4 linked regions of the Saccharomyces cerevisiae S288C genome follow. The protein of the gene in region 2 purifies or fractionates together with the protein of the main gene of each other region. This does not show direct contact. Each region holds a gene or a part of one and is shown on either strand. Other genes may lie near its edges.

Evidence for each region.
Region 1: the proteins of MRT4 (region 2) and TIF6 purify together in Saccharomyces cerevisiae (affinity purification with mass spectrometry; 7 studies listed by BioGRID, with this or other methods). This does not show direct contact.
Region 3: the proteins of MRT4 (region 2) and NOG2 purify together in Saccharomyces cerevisiae (affinity purification with mass spectrometry; 8 studies listed by BioGRID, with this or other methods). This does not show direct contact.
Region 4: the proteins of MRT4 (region 2) and HAS1 purify together in Saccharomyces cerevisiae (affinity purification with mass spectrometry; 5 studies listed by BioGRID, with this or other methods). This does not show direct contact.

What each region holds. Positions count from the first base shown.
Region 1 is NC_001148.4:590,107-594,675, reverse strand, and holds TIF6 (translation initiation factor 6), read left to right. Parts: upstream 1-1,606; coding exon 1,607-2,344; downstream 2,345-4,569. Other genes in the region: RLF2 (Rlf2p), read right to left, coding at 1-200; guanine nucleotide exchange factor DSS4, read left to right, coding at 759-1,190; YPR015C (uncharacterized protein), read left to right, coding at 3,650-4,393. UniProt on the Saccharomyces cerevisiae protein: Binds to the 60S ribosomal subunit and prevents its association with the 40S ribosomal subunit to form the 80S initiation complex in the cytoplasm. Is also involved in ribosome biogenesis.
Region 2 is NC_001143.9:422,795-427,452, forward strand, and holds MRT4 (ribosome assembly factor MRT4), read left to right. Parts: upstream 1-3,447; coding exon 3,448-4,158; downstream 4,159-4,658. Other genes in the region: putative ubiquitin-protein ligase UFD4, read right to left, coding at 1-3,081; sphingosine N-acyltransferase LAC1, read right to left, coding at 4,501-4,658. UniProt on the Saccharomyces cerevisiae protein: Component of the ribosome assembly machinery. Nuclear paralog of the ribosomal protein P0, it binds pre-60S subunits at an early stage of assembly in the nucleolus, and is replaced by P0 in cytoplasmic pre-60S subunits and mature 80S ribosomes.
Region 3 is NC_001146.8:720,420-726,490, reverse strand, and holds NOG2 (putative GTPase NOG2), read left to right. Parts: upstream 1-3,378; coding exon 3,379-4,188; intron 4,189-4,279; exon of another isoform or gene 4,280-4,553; intron 4,554-4,720; coding exon 4,721-5,371; downstream 5,372-6,071. Other genes in the region: RNA-binding ATPase activator ESF2, read left to right, coding at 2,185-3,135; CCR4-NOT core DEDD family RNase subunit POP2, read left to right, coding at 5,844-6,071. UniProt on the Saccharomyces cerevisiae protein: GTPase that associates with pre-60S ribosomal subunits in the nucleolus and is required for their nuclear export and maturation.
Region 4 is NC_001145.3:848,737-853,980, reverse strand, and holds HAS1 (ATP-dependent RNA helicase HAS1), read left to right. Parts: upstream 1-2,389; coding exon 2,390-3,907; downstream 3,908-5,244. Other genes in the region: protein kinase TDA1, read right to left, coding at 1-1,351; aminodeoxychorismate lyase ABZ2, read right to left, coding at 4,172-5,244. UniProt on the Saccharomyces cerevisiae protein: ATP-dependent RNA helicase involved in 40S ribosomal subunit biogenesis. Required for the processing and cleavage of 35S pre-rRNA at sites A0, A1, and A2, leading to mature 18S rRNA.

The sequences.
Region 1 (4,569 bases), on a different chromosome or scaffold from region 2:
ATGCTTTTCATGGTTTCTTGTTTAACAGTTTCTATCATAGGTCCACTGACATCCTCTTTAGGATCATCTAGAGTGATGACATCCTTCTCTTTCGTGAGAAACTTATTACTCTTTACCGTAGTTGTATTCTGGAAAAAAGATAGTATGCCTTTTTTCTTAGTGTCGTCCTGTAGAGGAATTGATTTGAGATGTTGCTCCATTTTCCCTTTTCCTTTCGATTCTCTTCTGTCTTGAGGTTCACTAAAACATATAATTCTCTGTAACAGCAATAACAGAATGTTCTTCTCCTCAACGAATTGGCTGGAAAAATGATGTATTTCAAGAAGTGGAACCAATAAGAATTTTATTTTTTAGTCAGTTCGCAAACCTTTTGGTTTAACGATGTAGATCTTTCTTTTTTTCAGTTGAAGCCTTTCACGCGTCCGAACGCGTGAGCATATATGCAAGCCGTCTGACACTATAGATCGCGCCAGGTAGGGAACCACTTGATCCAGCACGATGAGCCCGACAACTCAAAACTCCCTTCTTCTGTATCAAAATACTTTTCAGCATATCCATATCATTCTTCCTTTCTCTTCGTAAAGGCTGACTGGGCGCCGGGGACCCGCTAGTTTAGTAGTACTGTGAATATCGTCATTGTCGTACTGAACGATTATATATCGATCATTTTAATTAATGAAGTACATATCAAAAACTTGACTGGTATGAGTAGAAAGTTCAATTAAAAGGGCTGGAAAAATGGGGGAATAACAGAGAACATGAGCAAGGCTACGTGTTCCTTTGAGGGCTGTCATAGTGCAGTTATTACCATCAACGATGATAACATAATAAACTTACCAGAGCAGGTGCACAGCGAATTCAAGTTGCTGGAAAACAGAACTATGCGAGATGCTACCCCCAGCGAGAGCAACTTCTTGGTCGTCCCTGATGTTTGGGACTTTGATAATGTTGGTGTATCTAGAGAAATTCCTTCTTCTATATTAGGGGATTTGAGTGATAAGAGTGATTTTGTCTTTGAGTATGGTAATTCCAGCTGGAAGATTAAAAAGTGCTTGAAATATTTGATATGCGCTGATTGTGATAAAGGTCCTATTGGAATAATATGTAAGGTGCAAGATCAGACAAAGAATGAAGAAAGAGTTTTGCATCTACTAAGCTTGCGAAGCCTTCAAATTATGGGAAGGAATTAGTTTGGTAGGCACTAGAACAAAAATAGGTTGCCGCCACCAGAAAAAAAAAAGAGTAACCAACCACCTATTTCACTGGCATGGGCCACCTATAACAAGCTATAGAAGTAGTTCTGGTTTACATTACTAGCATCACTTTATGTAATAATATAGGCATTCTGGACGAAATCCTAATGGATGAGCATTACCCGTTTTTTCCGAGGGCCAAACGAAAATTTTCGGAAAATTTTTATTAATTAAAGATTTAAACCCATATTCCTTTGTGCAGATTTTTTCTTTTACTGTATGTAACGCAATATTCAATATTGCATAATTAAAAGAAGCCTCATCCCTCGTTGGTCTTATAGTATAATTACAAGAAGCAATACGACAGAGTATTTGGAACAAGAGCATAATTCAACTAACTCTAGAAAACAATAATGGCTACCAGGACTCAATTTGAAAACTCCAATGAAATCGGTGTATTCTCCAAATTAACGAATACTTACTGTTTGGTTGCTGTTGGTGGTTCTGAAAACTTTTACTCTGCATTTGAAGCTGAATTAGGAGATGCTATTCCCATCGTTCATACCACTATTGCTGGTACGCGTATCATCGGTAGAATGACCGCGGGTAACCGTAGAGGTCTGCTAGTTCCAACCCAAACTACTGATCAAGAATTACAACATTTAAGAAATAGTTTGCCGGATTCCGTTAAGATTCAAAGGGTAGAGGAAAGACTATCTGCCTTGGGTAACGTCATCTGTTGTAATGATTACGTTGCTTTAGTGCATCCAGATATCGACAGAGAAACTGAAGAATTGATAAGTGATGTACTAGGCGTTGAGGTCTTCCGTCAAACCATATCAGGTAATATCTTAGTTGGGTCATATTGTTCTTTAAGTAATCAAGGTGGGTTAGTGCATCCACAAACAAGTGTCCAAGATCAAGAAGAATTGTCCTCCTTATTACAAGTTCCTTTGGTGGCTGGTACCGTTAACCGTGGTAGTTCAGTTGTCGGTGCCGGTATGGTTGTGAACGATTACTTGGCAGTTACAGGTCTGGATACTACAGCCCCAGAATTGAGTGTTATTGAAAGTATTTTCCGCTTGCAAGATGCCCAACCAGAATCCATTTCAGGTAACCTACGTGATACTTTGATTGAAACCTACTCATAGATGTCAGGTACTCCTGAGGGGATTCCCCTCCTTCCTCAAGTCTGTTTACAGTTGTATGCGAAAGAGTCCCCATGTTGCAATAATCTTCTTACGTATCATTTGTGGTATTTTTTTTGGTATAACAAATATTTTTTCTTAGGTTTCTATGCATTTTAATTTTAGTTGTATGTATATTATGTACTCTTTTATTTTTTTTTTTTTTCTTATACCTATGGGTGACTATTCATTGCAGTTTAAGTAGGCGTCTTAATTGTAACATGTAGTCACTTTGTTCGAAGCATATGTAACGGGTTTCTAAGCAAATTCTTTGCATAATATGGATTTTCCGTCCGCTTCTCCGACTATTCTGACAACTTGCTCAGTTCCAAGTATCTGTTAGACAATATAGAACTTCTCCAAGAAAAATTGCACCGCACGTAGACCATTTGAAGGCTTTTTTGTCTAGCTGCTAGGACATACTATTGTCTCCACCAGAACCCGGAGAGTAGTATCTCTTGGCAAAGATTAATAAAATCGAACAAAGCTAATAGAACACCGGGGGTTGTGCGGTAAGATTTTCACAAGCGGTACAGAAGTGAGCCGTAAAATTATATATATATATATATATATATGGTGTACAACAAGTCAGCCGTCCATTTATGTGCTATCAAGCGAACTACGTTTCATCTCTTCAACTTGGTAGTTCTTGAGATATAAACACCCTGATCCATCGTACTCACTGAAATAGCAACAACTCCCTGAGTTCCATTGCCACGCATACCCACTCTCATATCCAGAAACAGCTAGTATTTCGATGTTTTTCCGCTCGAAGAAACTTCCGTAGTATTGTTGAGGTGTTGGGGGCATCGTTCCTTTTCGTACGCCAAAAATTCTTCCTCTATTGTTTCCAGAAAATCGTTGCAAAAAAATAAGTCCGCCACGCTGTTTTCTGTGACAACTCTATCTGGAGCCTTCACTAATGGTTTAAAAGGCACGATTTCCACAGAAAGTTTCGCAGCACTTGTTTGTACAAGGAGCGTAAAGCACCGGAAATCTTTTCCCACTGAAACCCTAAATATGAACGGCATTTGGTTGCCATGAGATACAGTCCCAAGAATTCTTTATATTATATAAGCGCTAGTTGTTGTCGCTCTTTTGACCTCATTGGTAGATATTTCAAATTACAAAATTATAATTGTTTTCTTGGTCCAACTTTTTTCTTCTTTTTGGAGGGCATTGCAAGGATCCAATACGATAAGCAAACGTCTTCATTGACCCGTTTCTAACTTTTAATATACATAAATTTTCATCTTCAACACTAATTAAATGTGGAGAACAAAAACGCTAGAATCTATGCTTTGTAGCCCAATGAAATGTTCATCGTCTAACATAGGGGGATCCTATGCGCAATCTTCAAAGGAAGTCTCGAACACGACCAAAAGGGAAGTGCATCTTCCACCTTGTTCGTCGATTATGCACGCTCCACTTACTCCTGAAATAAACCAGGCCGCACTACCACCTCCCGCTTACCATTACGCACCTTCTTCTCTGCATCAGACAGAGGATCCCGTATGGAGATCAAGTCCCAACTCTATTATCTTTTCGCCGGTTATAGCAACACCGCAACCTTTCCCTTTAACGTTCGTTGAACGTCAATCTTGTTGCCCTATTTATTCAACGGCAGCTTCCTCTTATACTGCCCAATCTGTACCTCCATCAATGCAGCATTTTCAGGAGGAAAACCACAGAGCGGTGAGCAACGAGCAGTACTCCCTCCCGAATGTGCATATAGGGCAAAATCCTGGGACGCTATTATCCCAAACACAAACCGACTTAGATCTTATACAAAAGCAACTGCGCGCTGTGGTAAAGCTACGGAAACAATGTCCTATCTGTGGGAAGGTTTGTTCGAGACCTTCAACACTGAGGACTCATTACTTAATACATACGGGAGACACACCTTTCAAATGTACTTGGGAGCATTGCAACAAATCTTTCAATGTCAAGAGTAACATGTTAAGGCATTTAAGAACCCATCAAAAGAAAATAGCAAAGAAAAAACATCAGTGAAAGCATTGTTTAGAATATTTTGTTTTCAGTGTGATTTTGATGTAGGTGTGACACTTTTTACCAAGTAAAATGAGTATAGATATGTATTAGTTCCATATAATATATTACATGTAGCCAACAATCAATTTTTACTGACTTCCGATTTTTGAATAGTGAGAGGATTTTTGTTCGAATTA
Region 2 (4,658 bases):
TAGTTGTCTAGCGAGCTTAGCGCTTAGTTTTGAGTTGATAAAACTGTCGCTTTTAACACCGCAGCTATGTAGAAAATCCAGCAATGTCAGAATATCCGCTGAAGATCCAGTATCAACCTGTGCGAATTCTCTTTTTTTATAAAAATCTCTTAACTTTTTCCCCTCATTAGCTTCCTCGGCTGCCTCACTCTCTCTATTGTTACCTTCTAAACTTTTGCAAAATTTGATTGTATGTGTATCATCCCATAAAGTTTTTAAGTCACGATTTCGCCTGACGAATGTATTAAATATCACACCAAATACTGTAGACTCCATGTCAACTTTTTCATTATCATAAAAAAAGTCAAAGTTCTTTTTTCTCATATGATCCAAGCAATTTTCTTCTTCTTCCCTATCAGCTTCGGTACTGGAAGATGTAAGGTTTGGGATTAATGAATTCAAAAAACGCATTCTTACCATTCTGTGTCTCAAAAACTCATTAAGTGAGGTAAAAGAAGCTATGCAATGGACCGAAACGATAGTAGATGATAAATCAGTACCAATATTATCTTTGCTTGCATCGCCATCATAAACCAACTTAATTTTTATCTCTTTAGCCAGTGAAGATACACCACCACCATCGTGTAAACCGCAATCAACTATAGAGAAATTCTCCAGCCTTGTGAGAGCAGATTGTAGGATTTCTAAAAATCTGTCAATACAATCCTCAAATACCTCTAAAAATGATTTAGCAAGAATGAAATGGGATACCGTTGAGGATGTAATTCTTTTAGTTATGGAGGAAGCTAGCCCTGTAGAAGTAAATTCGAAACCTGACACGTCGAAATCTTCATGGAAAATACATTTTTTTAAAACAGACCAAATTCCCTTCCAATCCTCTTCAGTTTTGTCCGGAGTGGAAGGATTTTCTAAAATAGAAACAACGCCTTCGATTTGATGGAGCTCCTCTGTTATTGCTTCTTGCTCAACGTTCATCTGAGAAAGTACTCTATTAACTAGGTTCACACCCTTGTTTTTAATATAAGCTAGAGATAGAGTTCTGAAAATGTGTATTGAAATTTTCTTTGGTTTTACTGAATCAGGAATTTCCATATCAGTAAATTCGTAATCATATTCTTCATCACCCTCATCACATTCCTCAATACTGCTATGCAAATCCCCTTCTTCGTCAGAAAGTGAAATATTTTCATTCCCGTCTTCCTTTAAATCAATGTTATTGAAATCCACAGACAAATCCTTAACCAAATCAAAAATGCCCTCTCTTTTGATGGAAGGAAAGAACAGTTCGGAAAACTTTTTACAAATTAAGTCAAGCAACGAGAGACCACCAACCAACAGTGTACCAGCTTCTGATGAGTAAGTACCATTAGCGTTAGACGCTGTTTCTTTTTGGGCCAGGATAGATCCGATTAACTTAATAAGTTGATCATTGATTGCCTTTGCTGTGGAATTATTTATGCATGATACAACCCTCAGTAAAGCAATAAGTACGTATCTTCTTACGTCAAAGTCAGCAGCATTTGTATAAATTTCAACGAGAATTGGAATTAGACATTGAACTAGGGAATCAAACTTTTCCTGGTTAGAAATTACGCCACGGTCGCTATTTCCGGTATATTTATCCGCTGACAGTATTCTTTCATCCTCGGGAGGAAACAATACAACTATAAATCTAGAAATGCTAATCAATAAACTGTTTGGGACATAAATCAGTGTTTCATGTAACCCTGCGTTAGGACTTTTACTATAATGCTGGAATGATCGTGTTGCCATGTCGACAATGTCAGTTTTCTCTCTCAGTTCTCTTGAAAGTACATCACTACTCATCGCTAATACGGTTAAAATATCCAAACATTTCAGTTTATTCTCCAAGGGGGTATCCTGAATAGAAACTAGCTGAACTATTCTTTCGATTAAATCCAACGAAAACAAAGTCTCAAATTTGTCAACCCCATGCAACGCCCCGCAAATACCGTACATGGCATTTACAAGCCTGGTTAATATTGGTTGGTCTGTCGCATTCGAGAAAATTGGCTTCAGCGTTGGAAGTACTTCAACAATGGTCTTAAAGTCATCCGTTCGGATACTGCTACAGGCGTTCGAAACAATTGCGATAGCCTTCCTCTGCGCATGTATAGTTAAAAAATCGAAGAATTGGACGTAGATTGATAATTGGCCCGTTTTTAAAATGTCTCTCCCATGTACTCTAGAAATATATTCCACCGTTTCTAAAACTTGTTCTGCGAGGTCAATGTAACTGATCTCTACCAATTTTCCTTGTAAAATTGGTATAACGTGTTCATCAACAGCTATTGAAATAGATTCAGGGCAGACCTCAAAAAGATTATACATGCATCTACAAGCTTGCATTTGTAATTCTAATTCTTCCCGTAAAATTTTATCAGAGAGTATGGCAGCTATATTACCTATTAAGGTTTCCATCGGTATAATTCTATCGACAACCATTTGATTCATCATTAATATGTTTTCAGAAAGTTCTTTTAAACTCTCCATTGCAATATAAGGATCCTCGGAGGCATTCCCAGTATTCTCTATCAATTTAGAAATCCGCTCATTCCTTGCCGAACTCTCTGCGCTCCTCTCCATCCTTCCTCCAATCATCGATAAAATCTCGGGTAGTGTTCTTCCAACCGGGTGTTGCCCAAGTCCTTCACTTGTTTGTCTTCTTTGTTCTAGTCTTTGTGCGAATGTTTCCAAAATGTCAGGTAAATGTAGGGGGTTGCTGCCAAATTCATTATTATCGTGAGAACGTTCAAGTCCATCTTCTTCTTCATTTCTGTCTTCGTCACTGCCATTCTGAGTTCTATGATATCCATATAAAAGTCCAGAATCATCTTCATGATGGTAATCGTTATCGTCATCTTCACCATCATCTGCCTCAAAACTTCCGACGCTAGAAAGCATATGTTCATCTTCATCTTCATCAGGATAATAAGAGTACTCACCCTGTACATGGCCATCCTCATCATAGTCATCTTCTACCTGCGTATCCATCATATAATCACTGTTTTCGCTATGGGACTCATGTTCATCAAGGTTGTGCGAATTATTTTCAGACATGCTTGGCTACTCTTCTATTTTAAATGTTTATCCAAAATTTTCACACCTGAGATATATTGTTGTTAATAAAGCACACAGAAAGGAAAGTATCGATCCCAGAAAGTGGTCTTTCCCTGGGTATGATCAAAGCTATTCCCCTTTCCAACTACTGTTGGCTATGATCCCACAATTTGATTTCAGTTCAGAAAACCCAACCATTAGGACTTTACCCGGCGAAGGTGAAAGAAAAAATTTTTTTCCAGAAAAATGCGATGAGCTTTTGAAAAGTTGCAAATATTTGTAGTACTTTGGCTAAGCAGAGCTGATTCCTTTTGCTATACGTACATCACTGTCTATCGTCCATAAAAGATTTATTATAGTTGAATCATGCCAAGATCAAAACGTTCCAAGCTAGTCACTTTAGCACAAACCGATAAAAAGGGCAGAGAAAATAAAGAAAGAATTTTCGATGAAGTGAGGGAAGCCTTAGATACTTATAGATACGTCTGGGTCCTACATCTTGACGACGTAAGAACTCCAGTTTTACAAGAAATCAGAACATCTTGGGCAGGCTCTAAGTTAATTATGGGTAAGAGGAAAGTTTTACAAAAAGCATTGGGAGAAAAGAGGGAAGAAGAATACAAAGAAAATCTGTATCAATTGAGTAAGCTTTGTAGCGGTGTCACTGGTTTATTGTTCACTGATGAGGATGTCAACACTGTCAAGGAATACTTTAAGTCATACGTTCGTTCAGACTATTCAAGACCGAACACGAAAGCACCACTAACATTTACAATTCCTGAGGGCATTGTCTACTCACGTGGTGGTCAAATTCCAGCTGAGGAAGATGTTCCAATGATTCATTCTTTAGAGCCAACTATGAGAAACAAATTTGAAATTCCAACTAAAATCAAAGCTGGTAAGATCACCATTGACAGTCCATATTTAGTTTGCACTGAAGGAGAAAAATTAGATGTTCGTCAAGCTTTAATACTGAAACAATTCGGTATCGCTGCTTCTGAATTCAAAGTCAAGGTGTCGGCCTACTATGACAACGATAGCTCCACTGTTGAAAGCACTAACATCAACATGGAATAAGCTGAACTATTATTTGGAAGCCTTTTTTAATAGACCATTGTATAAAAATTTCTTTTTTTTGTATAGATATACTAAAGCAACGCTCATAAATGTAACATAGCTTCTTTTCAACTGAGAATTTATATTCATGCTAACTAAGCGTAAATCACTTTTGATCTTCACAGCTCTTTAGCGGCACGAAAGCAAGAAAAAAAGATAACACTGTATGTCTGGAAAAGAATACTATAAAAATACCTGTTTACATAAACCAATAAGGAAGAACGTGAGAGCAGGACCGTAAAAGAATTAATGTGTAAAGAATTAATGTGTAATGGTTATACTACTTAAAAACACCGTTTTCCTTCAAATATCCTTTTTCGTTGGAGTACTGTCAGTTGGAGTAGTGGAACTTTCATCACTTTCTTCGTCTGATTCACTATCACTTCTGTCATCCTTGAGAATACCTCTCCATAGAATCCTGTAAAGAACTCTAAAAATAAGGAACAGCCAATAAAGATTCA
Region 3 (6,071 bases), on a different chromosome or scaffold from region 2:
CAGTTTATCAGATTAATTCACGGAATGTTACTTATCTTATATATTATATAAAATATGAATCATGCTAAGTGGTGGAAGCGCGGAATCTCGGATCTAAACTAATTGTTCAGGCATTTATACTTTTGGGTAGTTCAGCTAGGGAAGGACGGGTTTTGTCTCATGTTGTTCGTTTTGTTATAAGGTTGTTTCATATGTGTTTTATGAACGTTTAGGATCTCAAAATGTCATACTGACGTATCTCATTTTGAGATACAACAAAAAGTATAAATCTTTGGAGGGTTGGCCGAGTGGTCTAAGGCGGCAGACTTAAGATCTGTTGGACGGTTGTCCGCGCGAGTTCGAACCTCGCATCCTTCAGTATTTTTTTTTATTTTGTCGGGGCCACCAGATCTTTAATGGCAAGACAAAGCGTTTTCAGATACATGAAATACATTGAAGCTATCTTTTTGAAGAAGAATACCTGCGTAGTGTTCTATGATTGTTCAAATAATATTTTAAAATGGTATTTTACTACTGTGTACATTTTATATGCTTAAATAAAAAAGAAAGTAGAGCACCCAATGTACGTGTGGTAAGGAAATAAATGTTCATAATTTTCATTAATGCATCAAACGGGATAAATGTTTTGGAAGAACGCAAATTTTGAAAATAGATTCCATTGGCTCTTGATAGTTGCTTTACGTATATTTTGTTTAGCCTTCTTTCCCTCATATAAGTATGCAGCTCTTCATTTTCCAAACCAGGATGAGATATGGATATATAGTTTCCCACTGAATCTTTGTGTCAATGCTACGCCCATCTTCTGCACGTCAGAACAGAATAACTACCTTGAGAAGAAAAAAAAAATACAAATGGTGGTTACTTGATAATGAATATGCTCTAATTGAAAAGAAATCTCCCTAGATATGATACCGCCCTCGACGACCCGATCTTTGGTATTTGGTAGGACTGTATCATCTTATTCCTCACATCATAGCAATTTTGTTCGTCATAATGTTCCTTTAGTTCTCAGAGTCATATGAATTCTATTTCCATAGAATTTTCCATTTTGAGCAATACGGGGAGTCGCTACCTCGATTCTAAGTTATGCTGCATTGACTTTATTGTGTGATATACATATCGATGTACTAGAAAGGGTTTGGTTTGGCCAAGTTTTTTATTATGAGGGTGCATTTTTTCTGTTTTAACACATTTCTCATGATCCTAATAGAAGGTTGAGTAGAGATGTACATAATATTTTGCGGAAAGTTTCGACACGTTCATTAGGTTCTAAAAAATTATTATTTTTCATAAGCTATTGAGATCTTATCACCTTGCTCTGTAATTCTAAAGTTGTTCTAAAACCGCAATTAATGTTTCAATTTTGGCGCTATTAATAATGATGGATACTCAACGAGGCGTACCAGTAGCATTTTGCCATCTTAACACATTAGCAAACGTTGCTATTATTGATCCTTCCATAAGTAATTTCACACATCCATTTTCGTCCCTAAGATAAAACAAAGTCTCACAATTCGTATATTGATATTTCAAACCCCAAAGCCTGTAGCCTTTTGATTATGACCGACTTCCCAGACGTGGCCATATTGATAAAGGTGCTTTCTGATCAAAGTTAGTATTAAAGAAAGGGTAAAATTCGTAATATCGTAATATTGTAATATGAACCAAAAACGTTCACAATGTGTAGGATGCACTACCAAATAGGTTGCGTTGTAGTACTCATCTCTCGGTTGCGCGACTAGAAAGTTACTAGAAAACTCCGGAATTCCTTATAATATACTGCAATAATGCACATGTATCTTTTCAGTGCAAATTAATTATAGGAACAAACAGATAGCGACAATTCTTTAAGGGCTGCTGGATTGACAACCCCTTCATCGACCATATTTGATTAGCCAGCCACCAAATAGCGTTTCAATTGACAAACTACATTATCTCGTGAAGAATATTTAAACGGTGATATTGGGTCTGTCTGATCACATTTCCAAAGGCAATGACGTGTAAATTTTTTCTTTCTCTTGTTTTATTATTTTGAATTACTTCGTTATAGCCAGCTTTTCTCACATTGCGCAGTAAAACTTTCGCTATTAAGATTTTGAAAAATTTCAACCTGACAAACTACCCATTGCTATGTAAGTACAAAGCAAACAGTTTACTGCAGCAGAGTGAAGTAAATTTTTACGCATGAGTGAAAAAGTAAATAGTGACTTTGAAGACTTTTCCTCAGATGAGGAAACCGATCAACATAACGTCTTAATTCAGACCAAGAAAAAAATTTCTAGTAAGGATGATATCTTCAGTAAGAAGGTAGAAGACATCGAAAGTGAAAACGAGTCAGACATAGAAGAAGAGCAAAAACAAGAAGAAAAAGAGGATGTAGAACAACCAGATAAAGAGAATGGAGAAAAGCTCGATCGAGAAGTAGAAGAACAAGCTTCGTCCACCACTTCACTGGATTTAAAAACAGAAAAACTAAGGCAACTGGTAAAATCAAAGGCCGCCAAGAAGTCTAAACACAAGACTGGGGTGGTATACTTCTCCAGTATTCCACCTTACATGAAACCTGCAAAAATGAGACAAATATTAACTCGTTTTGGTGAGGTAGATAGACTATTTCTAAAGAAAGAGGACGATCAAAAGTACAAGCAAAGAGTTAAAGGTGGAGGAAACAAGAAAAACAAGTATGAAGAAGGTTGGGCCGAGTTTATTAGGAAAAGAGACGCCAAATTGTGTGCGGAGACGTTGAACGGGAACATTATTGGTGGCAAGAAAGGTACTTTCTACCATGATGATATCCTGAACGTGAAGTACCTCCCAGGTTTCAAATGGGCAGATTTGACTGAACAGATTGCCCGCGAGAACGATATCAGACAGGCCAAGTTGGAGATGGAAATCTCGCAGGCCAACAAACTGAACGCGGAATTCATTAGAAACGTGGAGCAAAGTAAGATGATACAAAACATTAAGAACTCTAGGAAGCGCGCCGGAAAAGAAGGAGAGTCTGCAGATTCTCACCCTCACAGGGAATTTAAACAACGTCGTGTGGAAACAAGCCGTGCCAATGCTCCCTCTGATATCAAGCAGCAATCCTCTGGGTCCAAAGACTTGGGTAATGTTCTCACCAATTTACTATAATATAGAATCAATAACAAATATATAAACACAACCTGTCATTTAGCACGTTTTTTTGCCCGATGCTCATCGCAAAAATTTTTCGCTTGAAGAAAAATTTTTCACTTTTCTTCTTTTTGGGCATATAAAGAAGCGTAGAATATATAAAAGATATTTACTACTTGTTAGTACTTTCCCTTAAGTGTTAACTTTGAAGATCTGTTGACTTGCAGCAAAACCACTAAATATCAGGGGAGGAATAATACAATGGGTACTGGTAAGAAAGAGAAATCTAGACGTATTCGTGAAGGTGACACCAAAGATGGTAATCTTCGTGTGAAGGGTGAAAATTTCTACAGAGACTCCAAGAGAGTCAAATTCCTGAATATGTACACTAGTGGGAAGGAGATCAGGAATAAGAAAGGTAATTTAATTAGGGCCGCTTCTTTCCAGGACTCCACAATACCGGATGCGAGGGTCCAACCAGATCGTCGTTGGTTCGGTAACACAAGAGTGATATCTCAGGACGCACTGCAGCATTTCAGAAGTGCATTGGGTGAAACCCAAAAAGATACATATCAAGTTCTTCTGAGAAGAAATAAGCTTCCCATGTCATTGTTGGAAGAAAAGGACGCAGATGAATCCCCAAAAGCCAGAATTTTGGATACCGAAAGTTATGCTGATGCGTTTGGGCCCAAAGCCCAAAGAAAGAGACCACGTCTTGCTGCATCCAATCTAGAGGACTTGGTCAAGGCTACAAATGAAGACATTACCAAGTATGAGGAAAAGCAAGTCTTAGATGCCACATTAGGACTAATGGGGAACCAGGAAGACAAAGAAAATGGGTGGACCTCCGCAGCAAAAGAAGCTATTTTCAGTAAGGGTCAATCCAAACGTATTTGGAACGAATTATATAAAGTCATCGATTCGTCTGACGTGGTAATACATGTTCTAGATGCAAGGGATCCATTGGGTACCCGTTGTAAGTCCGTGGAAGAGTATATGAAGAAGGAAACACCACACAAGCATTTAATTTATGTTCTTAATAAGTGTGATTTGGTACCTACCTGGGTTGCAGTATGTTAACTTTTTTTTTTTTTTTTTTGATTCTTTCCAACCAAGAGGATAGCACGAGAGATTTTTTTTTTCGATAGAGTATGATTTTTATTACCAAACCTTTTTGTCAGGGTGCTTCTCTATCCGTTTTAGGATAAACTTATCTACAGAAGTGTCTGTTACTGTTTTGGAAGAGTAATACTGTTCGCTTATCCATATTTCCCCGTTCTGGGGAAGCCTCATGGGTAAATTAGAAGGACAACCTTTGTTTTAAAGGTATACCTTCGCTTTTTAGAACAGCGAGGATCTTATGAGTTGAGCTTTTGTTATTTGAGACTTTATCTCGGGCTCCATACAATATGTTCGTAGTAAAGATCCTCACAATTTTCTACTTTTTTTTTTTTTTTAGTTTAATCCACTCTTCGAAACAATCAATCTCGGCTATAACAATGATTATTACATTCTCTTGGGGCAAAAGATTACCTATTATGAAACAAAATGTATTTTTTACTAACAGAAGGTTTTTTTTTTTCAATTCTAACTTTACAAGTAGGCAGCTTGGGTCAAACATTTGTCAAAGGAACGTCCAACTTTGGCGTTTCACGCATCTATTACCAACTCTTTCGGTAAAGGTTCGTTAATTCAGTTGCTACGTCAGTTCTCACAGTTGCATACTGATAGAAAGCAAATATCTGTAGGGTTTATCGGCTATCCAAACACTGGTAAATCGTCCATCATTAACACATTGAGAAAGAAAAAGGTGTGTCAAGTTGCACCAATCCCTGGTGAAACTAAGGTCTGGCAATATATTACTCTTATGAAAAGAATTTTTTTGATTGATTGTCCAGGTATTGTGCCGCCTTCTAGTAAAGACTCCGAAGAAGACATTTTATTCAGAGGTGTTGTCAGAGTCGAACACGTCACACACCCAGAACAATATATTCCAGGTGTTTTAAAACGTTGTCAGGTAAAGCACTTGGAAAGAACTTACGAGATCTCAGGATGGAAGGATGCCACGGAGTTTATTGAAATTCTGGCAAGGAAACAAGGTAGATTACTGAAGGGTGGTGAGCCTGATGAGTCTGGTGTTTCTAAGCAAATATTGAATGATTTTAATAGAGGTAAAATCCCTTGGTTCGTCCTTCCACCTGAAAAGGAAGGGGAAGAAAAACCAAAGAAGAAAGAAGTTGAGAAGACGGCATAGAGGTAAAAACGGACAACCGGTGTATAATATTAATTTAAGATTACAAGTGATTTTTTTTTTCTTTTTTTTTGTTATTTTTTTTTTTGTTCTTATTATATGGCAGCAAACATTCTTGGGGAAACAACATAGATGGGTAATTATTTAGTTTATAAAGTATAATATTCCAATAGAAAACTTAAGTTCGGTAATGATATAGCCCTCTCTATAGTATAAGGTAAATCTCATTATACCAGTCATTCCAAACGGAATTCGGTCCTTACCCGCTGCTCGCTCTTTTTTCATCATTATGATATTTTCTTTATTGAGTCTTTTCAATTATAGTAGTAGAATGATAACTGACAAGAAAGATCAGTTTGAAGTTTATTAGCGTGTCTCGTTATCAGGGCTTCCTTGTTTTTCATACTGGAAATACTTCGAACGATTAGAAACAGGCAACTCAATTTTATACATTTATAAAGGGTCAAAAAGGATTATGCAATCTATGAATGTACAACCGAGGGTATTAGCTGTAGGAGGTGAGCAGTTTTTCTCTCAGAGGCAGGCTTCTGAACAACACCAGCAGCAAAACATGGGACCTCAGGTGTATTCGCCAAAGGTTAATAGAGCAAGAATGTTTCCTCAAGGGATGCCTGTAAATACAATTAATGGCTCTGTTAATCAGGAGATGAACAATGCCTATCTTTTGAAGCAGAAGAACGAG
Region 4 (5,244 bases), on a different chromosome or scaffold from region 2:
TCATGGATAATGTTTTCTTCAGAGTGTCTCGAATTCTATTCAATGATCTTTCACGAGAATTAATGGTTCTATCAACGTAAAGGTCAGGCAAATCCATCTTGCTGCTGAAGGCGGTGGAAGTTTCAGAGGACCCGCCATCCATATTTAAATACGCTAGAGTAGTTGTCTTTCTTGATTTGGAAGGAGACCTCAATGTGTGCATGGACGCTGTAGAAGATACCCTTCTTATTGTTGGATGAAAGGAGAAATTCGGCGTGTCCTTAGTATTCAAAGAATTTGAAGTAGCAAAATAATCCTTAATAAAGGGATGCTGTTTCAAATTCTTAGCAGAACGCCTAACGGCCGGGTCAATAGTAAAACAGCATTGAACAAAATTCCAAAATTGTTCGTATTTAGGGTCGTGCATCATTTGTTCGTCGACGTAATAGTCACATTTTGAAATACATTCCAGAGTTTCGTCGTCTGTGGTACAGTCAAAGGGCGTATAGCCGAAGGCCATGAAATATGTCAGTACACCAAGGGCCCATATATCCACCGGACAACCATACTTGTCTAGTTTGCCAACTTGATCAGGAGTCATTTCACCGACACCTTTGCACTTGACGATTTCTGGAGCAATATACGAGATGGTTCCAACAAACTCCTTTAACGAGTTTACCTTACTTGTGTTATATTCAGCAGCAAGACCAAAATCGGCGAGAACTAGGTCGTGTGCCAAGAGATCGTATTTGAAATCTCCGTGGTGTTCACCCTGTAGGTTTTTTTCGTTTTCGTTCACTCTCAATCTGAATAAGACGTTTTCTGCTTTCAAGTCTCTATGAACAATACCTTGAGAATGCAAAAACTCGAGAACGCTCACCAAACAGGCGCAGTACGAGGTAACTTGAGTTTCGAGGTCTAAACACTGATTTTCAACAATTTTTTCATACAAATCTCCCTTCTGACACAGCTGAGTGATCAGGACAATGTTATCTGCCGTCTCAAAATAGTCGAAAAGTTGTAAAATATGGTGATGCCCCTCAAAAATGTCCAAAGAATGTTCATTCTTTTTTTCCATATCTCTGATTTTCTCGCTTATTGACCTCAAAAGGTCGAACTCTCTTTGAATAAGTTGAATTTTGTTCTTGACAGTTTGTTTCTTAATAAGCTTCATCGCGTACAAATCCTTTGTGTGTATATTCATACATTCTTTCACGACGCTAAAATTCCCATCGCCCAAGGAGTTGTGGTTGGTTACGTATTTACATTTGAAGGTTTGAGCGTCTGCATTGCTGCCACTCAGTTGCGGCCAAGGTTTTTCTTCCGGCAGGCGCTGTTGTAGCTGGGAAGCAGAAGAACTAGCTGTAGTCATATCCTGGATGTGTATTTTTCTTTTTGAACTGTTGTAATGTCAATTGTATGAAAATATCGCGGTTTGGCTGAGACAGTCGTGGTAGGTAACTGAAGGAGCAAACAAGAAATTAATAAATAAACAAGTTAGCAAAACAAATAAAAAAACTGTCACTCTAAATAGAAAGAAGTAAAGAAGCAGAAGAAGTCATCCCCGTTCGACACGTTTTCATATTCTGAGTACATGATAAACCCCGCCCTCTTTTTCTTTTTTTAGGAATCCCCCTTTCTATTGTCAGAACAAGAAAGCGGTGTTGGAATTCAAGCAGCTTTTTTTTTTTCTTTTCGTCATACAGTTTCTTTTTCAGGAGTCTTGGTAGCACCCCACCCGTGGAATCGGCGGAATAACCTAACACGTGGAGGTTTTTCCGAGGTGCCAAAAAAGGAAAAACAAAGAGAAGCTGAAATCGGAATTTGAAGAATAGCGTGGGGGGGAGGGGGTTATTCAAGGAGCGCCTGTACCGGCAACGATAGCTTCGGCGGCTAAGATGGCAAACCTAATAGATGTATGTAAAAACATGGATGATAGCAGGCGGTGAACAGCCATGGTAATTTTAGGGAGTGCAAAAGTTATATGTAAGGCTATATCTGTATCAGTTAACAGGGGTGGAAAATGATTTGATAGGCGCAATATGTTTATTGGTAAAAGAGCATCTTAAACCACTTCATTCCATTTCTCACTATCACAAGTGATATATTATGTGTATTTTGCAATCCATGACGCTTTAATGCTTTACAAAGCGCTGCTACTTCTATTTTCTTAACGTAAAGAGGAGTGTATGACGACTAAGAATTGTTTACCCGGCGAGAGTCGATTCTTCGTTACCCGAATTGAAAATTTTTTATTTGCTTTTTCTTTTTTTTTTTTTTTTTTTTTTCAATATTAGCTTTAGCGATGAGATGAGATTTTATAGTGTATACACGGTACTTGAGTACATAGCTATTGGATAACTGTATACTATAATAATTAGATAAGCTGAGCAATATTAACAGGAGAAGTATGGCTACCCCGTCAAATAAACGTTCTAGAGATTCTGAATCTACAGAAGAACCTGTAGTAGATGAAAAGAGCACTTCAAAACAAAACAATGCCGCACCTGAGGGAGAACAAACTACTTGTGTGGAAAAGTTCGAAGAACTAAAGTTATCACAGCCAACTTTAAAGGCCATTGAAAAGATGGGATTTACCACTATGACTTCTGTTCAGGCAAGGACTATCCCACCTCTTTTGGCCGGTAGGGATGTTCTTGGTGCTGCCAAGACAGGTTCTGGTAAAACTCTAGCGTTTCTCATCCCTGCTATTGAACTATTGCATTCTTTGAAATTCAAACCAAGAAATGGTACCGGTATAATTGTCATTACGCCTACAAGAGAGTTGGCTTTACAGATTTTTGGAGTGGCAAGAGAGTTAATGGAATTCCATTCACAGACATTTGGTATTGTCATTGGTGGTGCAAATAGAAGACAGGAAGCCGAAAAATTGATGAAAGGTGTTAACATGTTGATTGCTACCCCTGGAAGATTATTGGATCACTTACAAAATACAAAAGGATTTGTATTCAAGAACTTGAAGGCTTTGATTATCGATGAAGCGGACAGAATCTTAGAAATTGGGTTTGAAGATGAAATGAGGCAGATAATTAAGATCTTGCCAAACGAAGATAGGCAATCCATGTTATTTTCAGCTACACAAACGACCAAAGTTGAGGATTTGGCTAGAATCTCGCTGAGACCGGGCCCTCTTTTCATTAATGTCGTTCCTGAAACCGACAACTCCACCGCAGATGGATTAGAACAAGGCTATGTGGTATGTGACAGTGATAAGAGATTTTTGTTGTTATTTTCTTTCTTGAAAAGAAATCAAAAAAAGAAAATTATTGTATTTTTATCATCTTGTAACTCTGTGAAATATTACGCTGAATTATTGAACTATATTGATTTGCCAGTCCTCGAATTACACGGTAAGCAAAAACAACAAAAGAGAACAAATACATTTTTCGAATTCTGTAATGCGGAAAGAGGTATCTTGATTTGTACAGATGTCGCAGCTAGAGGGCTAGATATCCCTGCTGTGGACTGGATCATTCAATTCGACCCTCCTGATGATCCAAGAGATTATATTCATAGAGTCGGAAGAACCGCAAGAGGCACTAAAGGTAAGGGTAAATCTTTAATGTTTTTAACACCTAATGAATTAGGGTTTTTAAGATATCTAAAGGCTTCCAAGGTCCCATTAAATGAGTACGAATTCCCGGAAAACAAAATTGCAAACGTTCAATCACAATTAGAAAAATTAATTAAATCCAACTATTATCTACATCAAACAGCCAAGGATGGTTATAGATCTTATTTACAAGCGTACGCTTCCCACTCTTTGAAAACTGTCTATCAAATCGATAAGCTGGATTTAGCCAAAGTAGCAAAGTCTTACGGTTTTCCAGTCCCTCCAAAGGTTAACATTACAATTGGTGCCAGTGGAAAAACGCCAAATACCAAAAGACGTAAAACTCATAAGTAATTTCAGAGGATCAATTTTTAATGCTATTAATGTGTACGTGGAACCAACACAACCGAAGTATTCATCTTCTGTTCTCATCGCACTCCTTTTCCTTTCTCTGCTTCTCCACTGTATGTCATTTAAATAAATGTATAAACCGCTGTTTTCTGTTTGTTGTCTTCTACGTACGTTGTCTGTATCAACCTGCACATATTTGAGTATGTAAAATCATGATTTGTAAACTATTGTAAAAAAACTTCATTGATATGAAAATCTGTCGTCTGCTCAATATTTTGTCTTCACTGTTCCCTTTATGCATCCCATGACGCCATTGAAAAGCAAAACTTCGTTGCCAACGGTAAGGCTTCCTATATCTATATCTCCCTCTTCAATAAGGCCGAGCCGCAATAAATAATGACGCATTGTTCCGCACAAACATCCAGTTGCTAATCTTGGTGTCACATACTTTTTAGAACCGTTAGGATCTTTTTGAATTACAGCCACGTTTGTTATTGAACCTTCCATCAGCAGGCCAGATTTGTTGGAAAATAAAATTTCGCATTGCGAGACAGAAGAAGTAGGTTCTGAACCTCTTAAGTTATTTATAGCAGTTTGCATGCGAACTCTCGCCCTAGCGTAATGATCTCTTGAAGTGGTTTTAAAACTGGTGAAAGCTGATGCGTTCAATGGTTCAGATGAAACAACAACATCCCAATTTATTGTGCTATCAATTAAAAATCCATTGAGCATCGTTTTGATGAAGTATGTGGAAACACTGTCATAATCGGTTGTTAATTTTAGGATAGGCTCCATAGGCATTGGAATTGCCTCAATTCGTATATCTCCTGTCTTAGAGACAAGTACCCGCATTTTATAGCATTGCCTTTCGTTGATCATTTTTTGAATTTTTTCGTGATACTCTGAATTTCCTTCTTTACAATTAATCAAGTTTTCAACCAATAACTTCAATAAATCATTCAGAGACGTGCTGAAGTCAATTTTAAAGTATGATAATGCTATTCTTATTCTTTGGTATTGTTCATCTAATAAAAAAAATCGTTCATAAATGACTTGTAGCATATCTTCTACACGCTGGCACACAATGGTCTTGCAATCATGCTTCCAAGCATCAGGATGCTGAATATTTTCGAGAAGGTCACCGCCGGAATTAACCTCCCTTACTCGTAAATAACTTGAGTAATCCTCATTAATTATCTGCTGCCTAATATCTTCGTCTCTCAAACCTAATCGAGGGTCTGGAGTTTCAAAGATCTCTTTCTTTGACGCTGACTGGCGTGCAAAACCAGGGTCGTACCTGAAAGTGGCCAGAACCTCGAAGTTCGGATTAGCAACTAGGC